Tribolium castaneum: one gene and its partner. The protein of the gene in region 1 interacts with the protein of each later gene in a pairwise test. Links are inferred from orthologs where the notes say so. Each region holds a gene or a part of one and is shown on either strand. Other genes may lie near its edges.

What was found. The genes of interacting proteins can lie anywhere in the genome.
Region 2: the proteins of Rgl (region 1) and Rap1 interact in a two-hybrid assay, tested with the Drosophila melanogaster proteins (2 studies listed by BioGRID). The link is inferred for Tribolium castaneum from reciprocal best matches to the Drosophila melanogaster genes Rgl and Rap1.

Annotation. Positions count from the first base shown.
Region 1 is NC_087398.1:14,569,644-14,574,614, reverse strand, and holds part of Rgl (ral guanine nucleotide dissociation stimulator-like 1), read left to right. Parts: intron 1-2,226; coding exon 2,227-2,486; intron 2,487-4,971.
Region 2 is NC_087403.1:4,584,272-4,589,766, forward strand, and holds Rap1 (ras-related protein Rap1), read left to right. Parts: upstream 1-1,700; 5' UTR 1,701-1,893; intron 1,894-2,007; exon of another isoform or gene 2,008-2,153; intron 2,154-2,378; exon of another isoform or gene 2,379-2,382; 5' UTR 2,383-2,408; coding exon 2,409-2,591; intron 2,592-2,645; coding exon 2,646-2,774; intron 2,775-3,793; coding exon 3,794-3,946; intron 3,947-4,004; coding exon 4,005-4,094; 3' UTR 4,095-5,245; downstream 5,246-5,495. UniProt on the Drosophila melanogaster protein: Ras proteins bind GDP/GTP and possess intrinsic GTPase activity. Plays a role in photoreceptor cell determination.

The DNA of each region.
Region 1 (4,971 bases):
GCACACTAATGTGTTAAAAATGTTTTTATTAAAAAATTACATTAGAAGTTCAAATTGATGACTATTTTGGTCTAAGCACAAACGAATTCTTCGTTTACAATTCGCATGAACTCTTGCCGTAAGATTTAAAGATTAACATTCCATTTACAGTAAACAGATAAAATAAATGGTAATCCGGGCCTGAAAAATTCTTACCAGCTGCCTCAACCTTCAAACCCAACAATGATCGCGTGCCAATTTTACAACAAATGTAATAAATTTTTGAAAACCACCACCCTGATGGAGACCTTTTGTGGAAGTGATTTACAATTTTACCAAAATTCATGGGAAAAAAGCTGCCCCAATTTTAAAACAGAAATTAAAAATCAACGACACATTTTCTCAAAAATTTAATTAGGCACTTCGATACACTACCTTAAAATACACCTATGGACCAAAGATCGTTAACATTAGACTATAGTTAACTAAGCGAAAGTGAAAAAACACACCATACAAGTAATCATTTTAAAAATCGGTCAAATCGTTCTTCTATACAATAAAATCACATACGATTTTTTTTGGAATTTTAGATAAATTACAATGAGGTGAAAAGTGCCTGAGTGTAAAACTTGACGAACCCGGTATAATATGGAGAGTATTTCTCTATATTAGAGAAGACTTTTTTACTAAAGTTGGACTTTTATTACTTTGTAGACGTTATTTATACTCTAGAACGCATTTCACCAAAATATTTTTGATTATACTAGACTGCTTTCAAAAAAATGTGACGTCGTAATAATATTTTTTAAGTGGCATGCTATTATTTTTTTGAGCCTATAAGGATGCTCATTTAGCTGTATTTTCATATTCCTAAAAAAACTTAAATCGAATCCAATAAAATCGGTTCCGTTCATTTAGTTTTAAAAATTAATAAAAAATACAAGCATTAGCTCTTTTAGTTTTAAAAATTAATAAAAAAATACAAAGTGATTTAGATTACTACAGGGTGTACACAATTTATTGTCAAACTTTAGAGTTCTTTATTTTTCTTATTTTAAATGGCAACCCCTATTAATTATATCTATCATTCGATGCGGAATTAAAGAACAAACATTTTTCTATAGCAAATCCTCTCACATTAATTATTAGGATTATTGGATAAAATCTCGTTTTGTCAACTGTTTTGTATAATTAATAATTTTAACAATCTTTTAAGTCATGATAAGGGGCAAGTGTAACCTTAAACGTCAACTTGAAATAAATACCTATGTACATATAATTCTAAAATTGTCCGGACTTCTTCAATTTTATGACTACATTTACTCAAATTTATGTTTTATTTATTAACTTTAGACATGTGAAACGTTTTGTTTGTTTAAAGACAATTTTATAATCTCTGAGAGGCTATAACAAAAAATAGGTTGTCCATTTTAATTTTTGCAAGCTCTCACTTTTACCAATCTTTTTAATTTTTTATTTTATTTTTAATTGAAATGAGCTATACCTACAATTATTAGTACAGCTTTAAATTTGAAGGTTTTTCTTAAAATGCTGAAAACTGCACATATTCTAGTTTTTGTGTAATACATATTTTTAAAAGGACTTTGTTTTCTTTAAAAATATATTTCGGAATTGACAATTAAACGTCTAGGGCGAAGTATTAATGAAGCTAGTTCCAAAAGTGCAAGAAATAATGCCGTGTTTCATTAAAAATAAACATCTGTATAGGTAACTCATTACTGAAATACTCTGTTTTCTAGAGAGTAATTTTAGGTGATGCAGGGGCTTAGATAATAATTGTGGTAATTATTGCGTCAAAAGTTTTTTTTAAAGCATTGTCACTGAGAATTAAAAGTGATCGTTTGTGCATAGAATTACCCTTTTTAATGGAATTTTAAATATGCAAAATGCCGACGTGCCGAAACATCCCGTGTGGTGCAAAACAGCGAATAAATCAATAGAGAGCACTTCCCGCGTTAATATTCCATGAATGAGAGTTATGCGAGAGGTGCGAGTGTTTTAATTAATTAATAAATCGTGACGATCGTGTAATTAAATCCCAGTTGAGACGTGTAAGTGAATTCGTGCGCTTCATCTGATGCAAAAAATAAAATTCCATTTGACATTTTCGCAGAATTATTGGATCAATTCGACTAAATGTCACACTCGCTCGAATTGTAATGAATTCTCTCCAAAGTTCACGTCCGTTTCCATTTTCTCTTGGCACTGATTGGATTCACATTTCAGGATTCAGATGACGAAATCTCCCATTTGGAATGGGAGACGGTCCGTGTCCGTTTCGTCAAAGCTGGCACTTTGAAAAAGCTCGTCGAAGCTCTTTCAACGGACGATGGTGAGCTTGAAACCACATATATTAATGTGTTTTTGGCCACCTATCGGAGCTTTTCTACGCCACGTGAAGTTCTCCGACTGTTGCTTCAGCGCTACGAGGAGCTTTTAGATGCGCCACCCAACGGGAAAATAGATCAGCATGAGCAGCACCGGAAGTAAGCAATTTTTTCTTCTTTTTGTTCTCGCAGTTTTTAATATTTTCACGAAATTCAAGCTACTAATTGTTATTAATAATAAAATAAAACAGATAAAAGTGGTTCTTAACTACTAGAGATTTGGATTAATTGGTTCAAAAGGTCTGTTATATTTGAATTGTTTTTATTTTGTTGAGTTAGAAACAGAAGTAGCAAAGAAGGTTTTTTATTATAAATTCTAAGAGAATTTTATTATAAATCGTTATAAATCACTGAATAGGATAATATTAGGTTTTAAACAAAAATTAATCTCTTAAAAAAGGTTTAATTTATGTTACATGTTACATAAATCTACCTTTTTTAACAATAATTATTGCTGTCTTTTTTCTGTCGATTATCTTTTGATTTGTTAAATAAAAATTTGTCTTATTTACAAGATTCTTAATTTTCGTAAATTTGCAAATTTTGAAAAAAAAGTTTAATTAATTCAACAATATTTTTTGAAATGAATACTTTGTCTTATTTTATTCAATCTGCTGTTTTTTAGTTGTTAATGTTTTGTTGGATGAATGCCATAAATCGCCAATTGTTCTGATAAAAATTCGTCTTCAATTGATGCAGAAAGTTGTAAAAGTGGGTTCTGAATATTCTACGCCTCAAAACTCAAAAAATTTTATAATGAAAAAAAAAAACGTAAAAAAACACCATACTTGTCTAGACGATAAAATTATATTTTTATCAAAATTAAATTTCTCATTAAAAAAGTTCAATTAATCGAACAAGATGCTTTGAAATGAGATGATTTGGCTTGTTTCATTCAATCTGCTTTTTTTAAATGGATTGTTTTGTTGGAGGAATGCTTTAAATCGCCAGATTTTCTAATAAAAAAAATTATTATTACAATCGATGCTGAAAGTTTGTTCTGATTTTAGTATTTGTTTTTTAAGAATGGTTCTTATTAAAAAAAAGGTTTAAATTACAGTAAAATTGATGCTTTTTCATCTAGATTTTTAATAATCGGCCTTACTGTGTTGAATAGATGTTAGATATTGCAAATTAGATCGTATGTTAGGTAGCCTTATTGAAGTAATTTTTTTACTGAGACAATAAATTTCAAAAACAAGTTTCAATTTTGTATTTCTCGCCAATTGTACTGTACAGTACTTTAGTTTAACTAAATTTATTTTTAAACTAGAATTTAACTCTTTAAGGAAATAATTGCCTAATTTTTGTATAGAAATAGAAAAGATTTGATATGAGTTGTTTTGGGTTGTTTTGTTCCAATTTATGATTTTCCTATAGTTGCTGTGTTGTTGGTGCCGGAGATTGCAAAATTGGCAGATTTTTCTTGTGAAACTACGTTCCAGAAAATCGCAAGCACAACAAAACCAATATCTAGCAAATTTTAATGAGCTTTTAAAGCTTTTTTTAGTGAAAAAAATTAAACAACTTTTAATTATTGGGGATTGGGGGCTTAAGAACCATTTGCAAGATAGTACGGACTGTTTATAACAGAGTGTAGGATTGTTGTAGGTATTAAAAGTTTGCCGCTTCTTTCAAGAAAAAATAAACAATGTTAGTATATGAAAAATTTGTTTTTATTTGTGGCCTAAGTAGATAAAAATTGGTATTTTTCAGAATTTCATAGAAATAAAATAATTAAATGCGATAAATTCAATTCTACACTTTTTTATAAACAGGCTGTATAATTTTTCATGTAGCGCAGATAGAAAATCAATAAACAATGGTATGAAAATATTATAAAAAGAAATTAGGAAATTCGTATTAAGAAAATAGTTTAGTTTATTCAACAATGTAACTTTAAAGTGGATTGTTTCGTTCAGTCTGTCTTGTGTGAAGAATTTTCTATATATTTTGTTAACTAATTGTCGGCAATGACAAGATTTTGTAATAAAAACTTCCATTTATTTAATCGATGTAAAATGTTACAAAAATTATTTATTTTTTTACCTTATCTTATTCAATTTAACTCATTTTTCAATAATACTCTTTTTTTACGTAAAAAAAATAGAACCTAATTAATGCTTCACATTTAGCTTTTTAAAGAATTAATCTTTTTTTAAAAAACTTGTCTTTTAAATTATTTCTGTCGATATAGAATAGAAAATCACAACTGTAAATATTTTGTATTTTTTTGGAAACACTTCATAATTGATTTCTTTATTAAAAAATTAATTGTTCAGTTTATGCAAATTACCTGTTTCAAAACTGTAGAAATGCCAACGTCTCATTTTCTCTAAAAGTTAGTTGTTGTAAATTGCTCATGCACTTCAAAAAATTTCTGTAGTTTTGAAACAGCTAATACATAAAATAAAAAAGGTGCAAAAATGTTTTCTGCAGGTAATTTTTCAGTTTATTTTGTTCAATTTAACTAATATTTTTCAATGAGAATCATTTTTATTTAAATTAAACAATTGCTGAATTAATTTTTGTCATTAAAAAAAACTACAAAAAACTTATATTGTATCGAAAATCATTCTTAAAA
Region 2 (5,495 bases), on another chromosome or scaffold:
CCACACGCTGGATCCGTCTAAGTGATTTTTTCATATAGGGGTATAGGTGCCCGCCTAGAGTTGGGAGCTTTTAATCAAATTAAACTCGGGGCTATAGATAAACGTTCGATTCATTTGGAGATGCCGTCATTTTTATGTAAATTTCCACTTTTATTTCGCTCTCAATACACATTTTCATTTTATTTCACTGTTAAAAAAACAATGCAATAAAACATGATCAATTCCGAATCTACGTATTTCATAAAAGTCGGAATTCTTGTTTAATCATTGATCACGACGCTTTTTTGTTATGCTTTACACTACCTGCTTTATTCACTGGCGACATCGAGATTCCAATCCTTTTAATGAACACATATTTTACGATACGAGGAATTTCCTTCTTGCAATTTTTATTAAACATAACTGTATTCATTCTTACCTTGATTAAGCCAGAAATATTAAGCGATACTACGAAATTAATTAAAGCAGAAATGAGTTATTTATTTTATACAAAGAATTACTTTATTAAAGTCGTTTCGCTTGGCGTTTAAAAACACATAAATAAGGGTTGTTTCTTGACATTTCCTTTCACAAAAAATTTGTGAACGAGTGATCTGTTTGCGGGAGCTCACATCCAAGCAGGTTTGCAATATTTTTTACCGTAAAGCTTGTTTGGGCACTGACATTATTGTCAAATAGGTTTTTACATAATTTGTTTTTTATTTAAAATCAGACTAGTCTAAAAATTTTGTCTATAAAACTGAGGGATTTAAAAAAGACTGTCTTTACAAAAAAGGTAAGTAAACGTCTGATTGTTATTAAATACCACGTAATCATTTGAATTTATCATTAGAGTATGCTGTAATAGATTTTTAACATACTGATCGAGCTGAAGGGACAAATAATAAAATTTCGAATAGTAATATTCAGTTAGGATACATATTTTTCTCTTAATTTGCACCAGTTTATCAAATACAAAGAAAAAAACTGCCTACTTCCTCCTCTATAAATTTAAATGATCGCATGGTATTAATCATTTATTCTATACATCTCGAATTTATACCCTAAATATAATTTATGAGAAGCCGGTTTTTCGAGGTGTTACGTCTTTAATTTTTAATTGAACACGTTTTGTGCCTAAGCTATGCATTTTACGAAAAAACTAATTAGTACATTAGTAAATATTTTAAAAATACGATCATTTATGAAGATTTTTTTTTGCGAAATTTCAAAACTCTAAATTTTTTCTTCAATTGGTTTTGGAGGTACAAGGTTAACTTGTTTTTTTTTTTAATAATACGACTGGTAGATTAATATTTATTAATATTCATTGATTTGAGATTCATTTAATAAGATAATTTATGTAATTAGTATTTTGGGAATTGCTGTTTTTCTTGTGATGGTGGAAATATATCTCAGAGTTATTGTATAATTAAAAAGATATATTATTTTTTTTAATTACGTAACCAAACTTTTTTGGGAATTGGTGTTTCTGTTGTAATGGTGGATACATCCTTCAAAGGATTTTGATTTATAAAGGGTTTGTTCAAAAATAATAACAAGTTTTCGATTTTTGAGTTTATTTATTATATAATAAAAAAGATATGAATTCTGGAATTATGTAACAAAACTTTTGGGAAGTGCTGGTCTGTGGCTTTGGTGTTGGTGGTGGCCTCTCTGTTGCGAGTGTGGAACTCTCGTTGCGTTTTCCTGTCTTATCGACCGTTCTTGTCTCGGGTGCGGCATGGTGGCATGCGCTTGGTGAAACGAAGGGGTGAAGGGGGAGCAGGGAGCAGAGTAATTGCCATTGCCAGCAGCTCCAGCTATACGCTATATCTATAGCTAAAGCTAATACACCTACCATCAACTACCAACGGCATCGCCCGATCCTGAAATAACGGTGTTTAGCCCACGGTAAGTTTCCCATTTTCATGTAAATCACGCCCAACTCCTCCCAGAGCACCCTTGAGAGTATGAGCATATCCTTGAAAAGGCAATGCCGTAAAAAACTGAAATAGTTTCACCTAGTGAGTATTTGTTGAAGCGTTGAGCCATGACAGTGTAAATTGAAGTGGTTTCGGGCCGTTCTGACGTTAAAACCGAAAACGGAGTGCAGTGGACGAACCTGTGACCGGAAGCGGCACCGCGGTGGCCCCAGGAGCTGGACACCCAATGTATGTATCGTGAGTTGTGACAGGGGGCGCAAATCCCGCCTAATTAGCCCCGATTCGTAGAATTGTTTGCAAATCTGCATGGATTGATCACTAGGTGTCTGCTCCATGTGCGCTAGCATCCTGTTGGGTTGTGGTTAACCACCGAGATTAGGCCGCTTTCGTAGTTTCGCTTACTCACAACCGCCCGGAATTCGGCGATTTATCTTCACTCGATTTTCGTTACAGATAGACTGAAGTTTTTGTGCAACTGGGAAAATGCGTGAATACAAGATCGTCGTTTTGGGGTCCGGGGGTGTAGGGAAATCGGCACTCACCGTGCAATTTGTACAAGGAATCTTCGTCGAGAAATACGACCCTACTATTGAAGATAGCTATAGGAAACAAGTCGAAGTCGATGGGCAACAGTGCATGCTTGAAATTTTAGACACAGCAGGCACAGTATGTCCCACATTCCGCCTCTCATAAACACTGCATTTCGAAAAATTGTTTTAGGAGCAATTCACGGCGATGAGGGATTTATATATGAAAAACGGGCAAGGTTTTGTTTTGGTTTATTCAATTACAGCACAATCAACATTTAATGATCTACAAGACCTCCGGGAACAAATTCTCAGAGTCAAGGTACATTCAATTTAATTGCAATTAATTACACACACTTTAAAACCGATGACTAATTGCCTCTAAGGTCACTATTTAGTTCACGTCACACGTAAACACGCTCTTTTAGATGCTAAAATTTGCGACAAAAACCGAATTTATTGCATATGTATCAATCCATATCAATGTTACATTCATTATCAAAATAAAACCCAAGGTCAACATGAGATTGATCACTATTTATGTTACGTTTCTAATCTACATATTGGAAAAGTTGACCTGCTTTATTACTCATTTCCACCCTTCCACCTATTAACACGTCGTTGTTTTATATTTTTAACTCCTTCAGGTTCACTTCACACATGTAAGCAATACTTTTACCACTCATAACTCTTATTATTACGTTTTTTACATCTGCACATGTGTAGAGGTCATTGATCAGCACCTATTTTATTTTACATGACAAAATTTACATAAAAGCTTCGTTTAATGATAAACAGAATATAATCTACTGATAATGCAAATATACAGGCAACTTCCGGCTAATGCTTCCATATTTTGTGTACCACTTTTTCGCGTCAGTAATTATCTAATTTTTTTCGTAAACTGCGTAACTAACTGGCATTTTATTTAGTATTTAGTTGTTTTCATACAATGAAAATTATTAATTCTCGATTATTACCATGGGCCACTTTTTCTTCGTAACAGTGGGAGTTGTTATCGCTAAATTGATTGTTACATCTATTTTTCTGTTTTTATTTGATTATTTTTTACTTATTTATTACACTGTTCAACAAGTTTACATTTTTCTTCTCTTCATTAAAAGAAAGAGTGCATAGTTTGGTATTTTTGGCCAGCATACAATTCTATAAAAATATCTTGTTTGTTTTTTTAATAACTTAGTTTTTTGAACAAGAAATTTTTAATAAAGTTGTGCAATCGTGCATCACCAAAATTAGTTTGAATTGCGGTGCAAAATACAAAAAGTGTTATGTGAATGAGCTAGTTAGGGTCAGTTGTAGAGTTTTGTTTTTGTTTGTCAGGACACCGATGATGTTCCGATGGTGTTAGTGGGAAATAAGTGTGATCTGGAAGAGGAAAGAGTGGTAGGCAAAGAACAAGGAAACAACCTATCGCGCCAGTTCAACTGTGCCTTCATGGAAACCTCTGCCAAAGCTAAAATAAATGTTGTTGATGTGAGTATTGTGCTGCGTGTCGGATTGTGCAGTGTTTTAACGCTGTGTATTGTTTTAGATATTTTATGATCTAGTTCGACAAATCAACAAAAAATCACCTGAGAAAAAACAAAAGCAGAAAAAGAAACCGATTTGTGTGCTTCTATAAAAATGTAATGATTTGGAACCAAAAAGTACATTTAATGATTTCAAAGACAATTGTAAGACAAAGTGTGTAAGCGTGAAGGCAAGTGCGGACGTGGAGAGCTTCTTCCAGTGAAGGGTAGTTAAAGTCCTGTATATTCTTTTTATTAAATATTTAAGTATTTGTATTTGTAATTAATTATAAAATATATGTCAGTTAAATTTCTCCAAAATCAAGGTTGTTATTGACTCTAGATGCAATTCTATTTAGTGATAGAGTATTTTGAAATCTACTGCCAATTTTGTGGTGTCAAATAGGGATAGCGATGTGTGAATCAGTGAGCCAAGACTAGTGACGGGACAATACTTCTCTGACCACAGCGTTTTAGGGTGTTTTATATTCCTACATAGAATAAGCCTAGTTAACAGGTTGGGTTTCTCATTGCATCATGGACGAAGACTAATCATTGTGGTAGTTCCGGAGTAAGCACTCGAGCTCTCGCTAAACATCACTATGTTTTTGTGCGATTGCTAGCCGCATATACATACATACTTATATGACTACGATCACTTCGTTACGTACTAGTTTTATTTGTGTTAGGTGTCCTTGTAAATGGATGTAGATTAGCGCGACAGTATATTATTAATAGGACTGTGGTGCTTACTCCGTTAGCAGTGTGGTAGACTAAGGCTCTCTCTGTGAGGTGGCGGTGTCTCACCCATCTCGAGTGCCAATCTCATGTTCAACTTTACTTTTTTCCAGAGTCAAAACTTCTCCTATTTGTATTTTGATTATCATGTATTTGTAACTGATTGAAATTGGAAATTGTGATAACTTTCTCATTAGCTTTTGTGTACGTGGAGGTTAAATGCTCTTATTTCGCACCTGCCTTTTGCACAACAGCGGTAACAAAATCACTTAATGCAATGCAATACCGCTTGCCAATTCTTTGAAAGATTATTTTAAAATATAGTTAATATATACATATTATATATTTTGTAATTCACCGGATACTTTTTTAGATTCCAATCACAGATATATGTGTCAGTTGAAAATATCTTCCCATTAAGCAATTAAAAAGAAATTGTATAAATCAATCTTGTTGTTTTTTAATATAAATGTATGTTAATGTATTCTAATATTGACGCTAAATATAATTAAAATTCAATATTTAACGTCTTGTCTATAAGTGTTCCTTGTAATATAAGACGACTCTGACCAACATTATATAATATACCTTTTTACTATTCTACTTTTGTACATAAAATATATCATTAATGACAATATGCTTTTGATAAACAAATTTTCTTTTGAACACAATTTTCCAAATTCCCGAGGTACCAACCCGTTTCCCTCCTTTTTCACATAACTTTATTTTTGCTTATAGGGCTACTTAATATAAGACTTAAACCATAATACATTGCG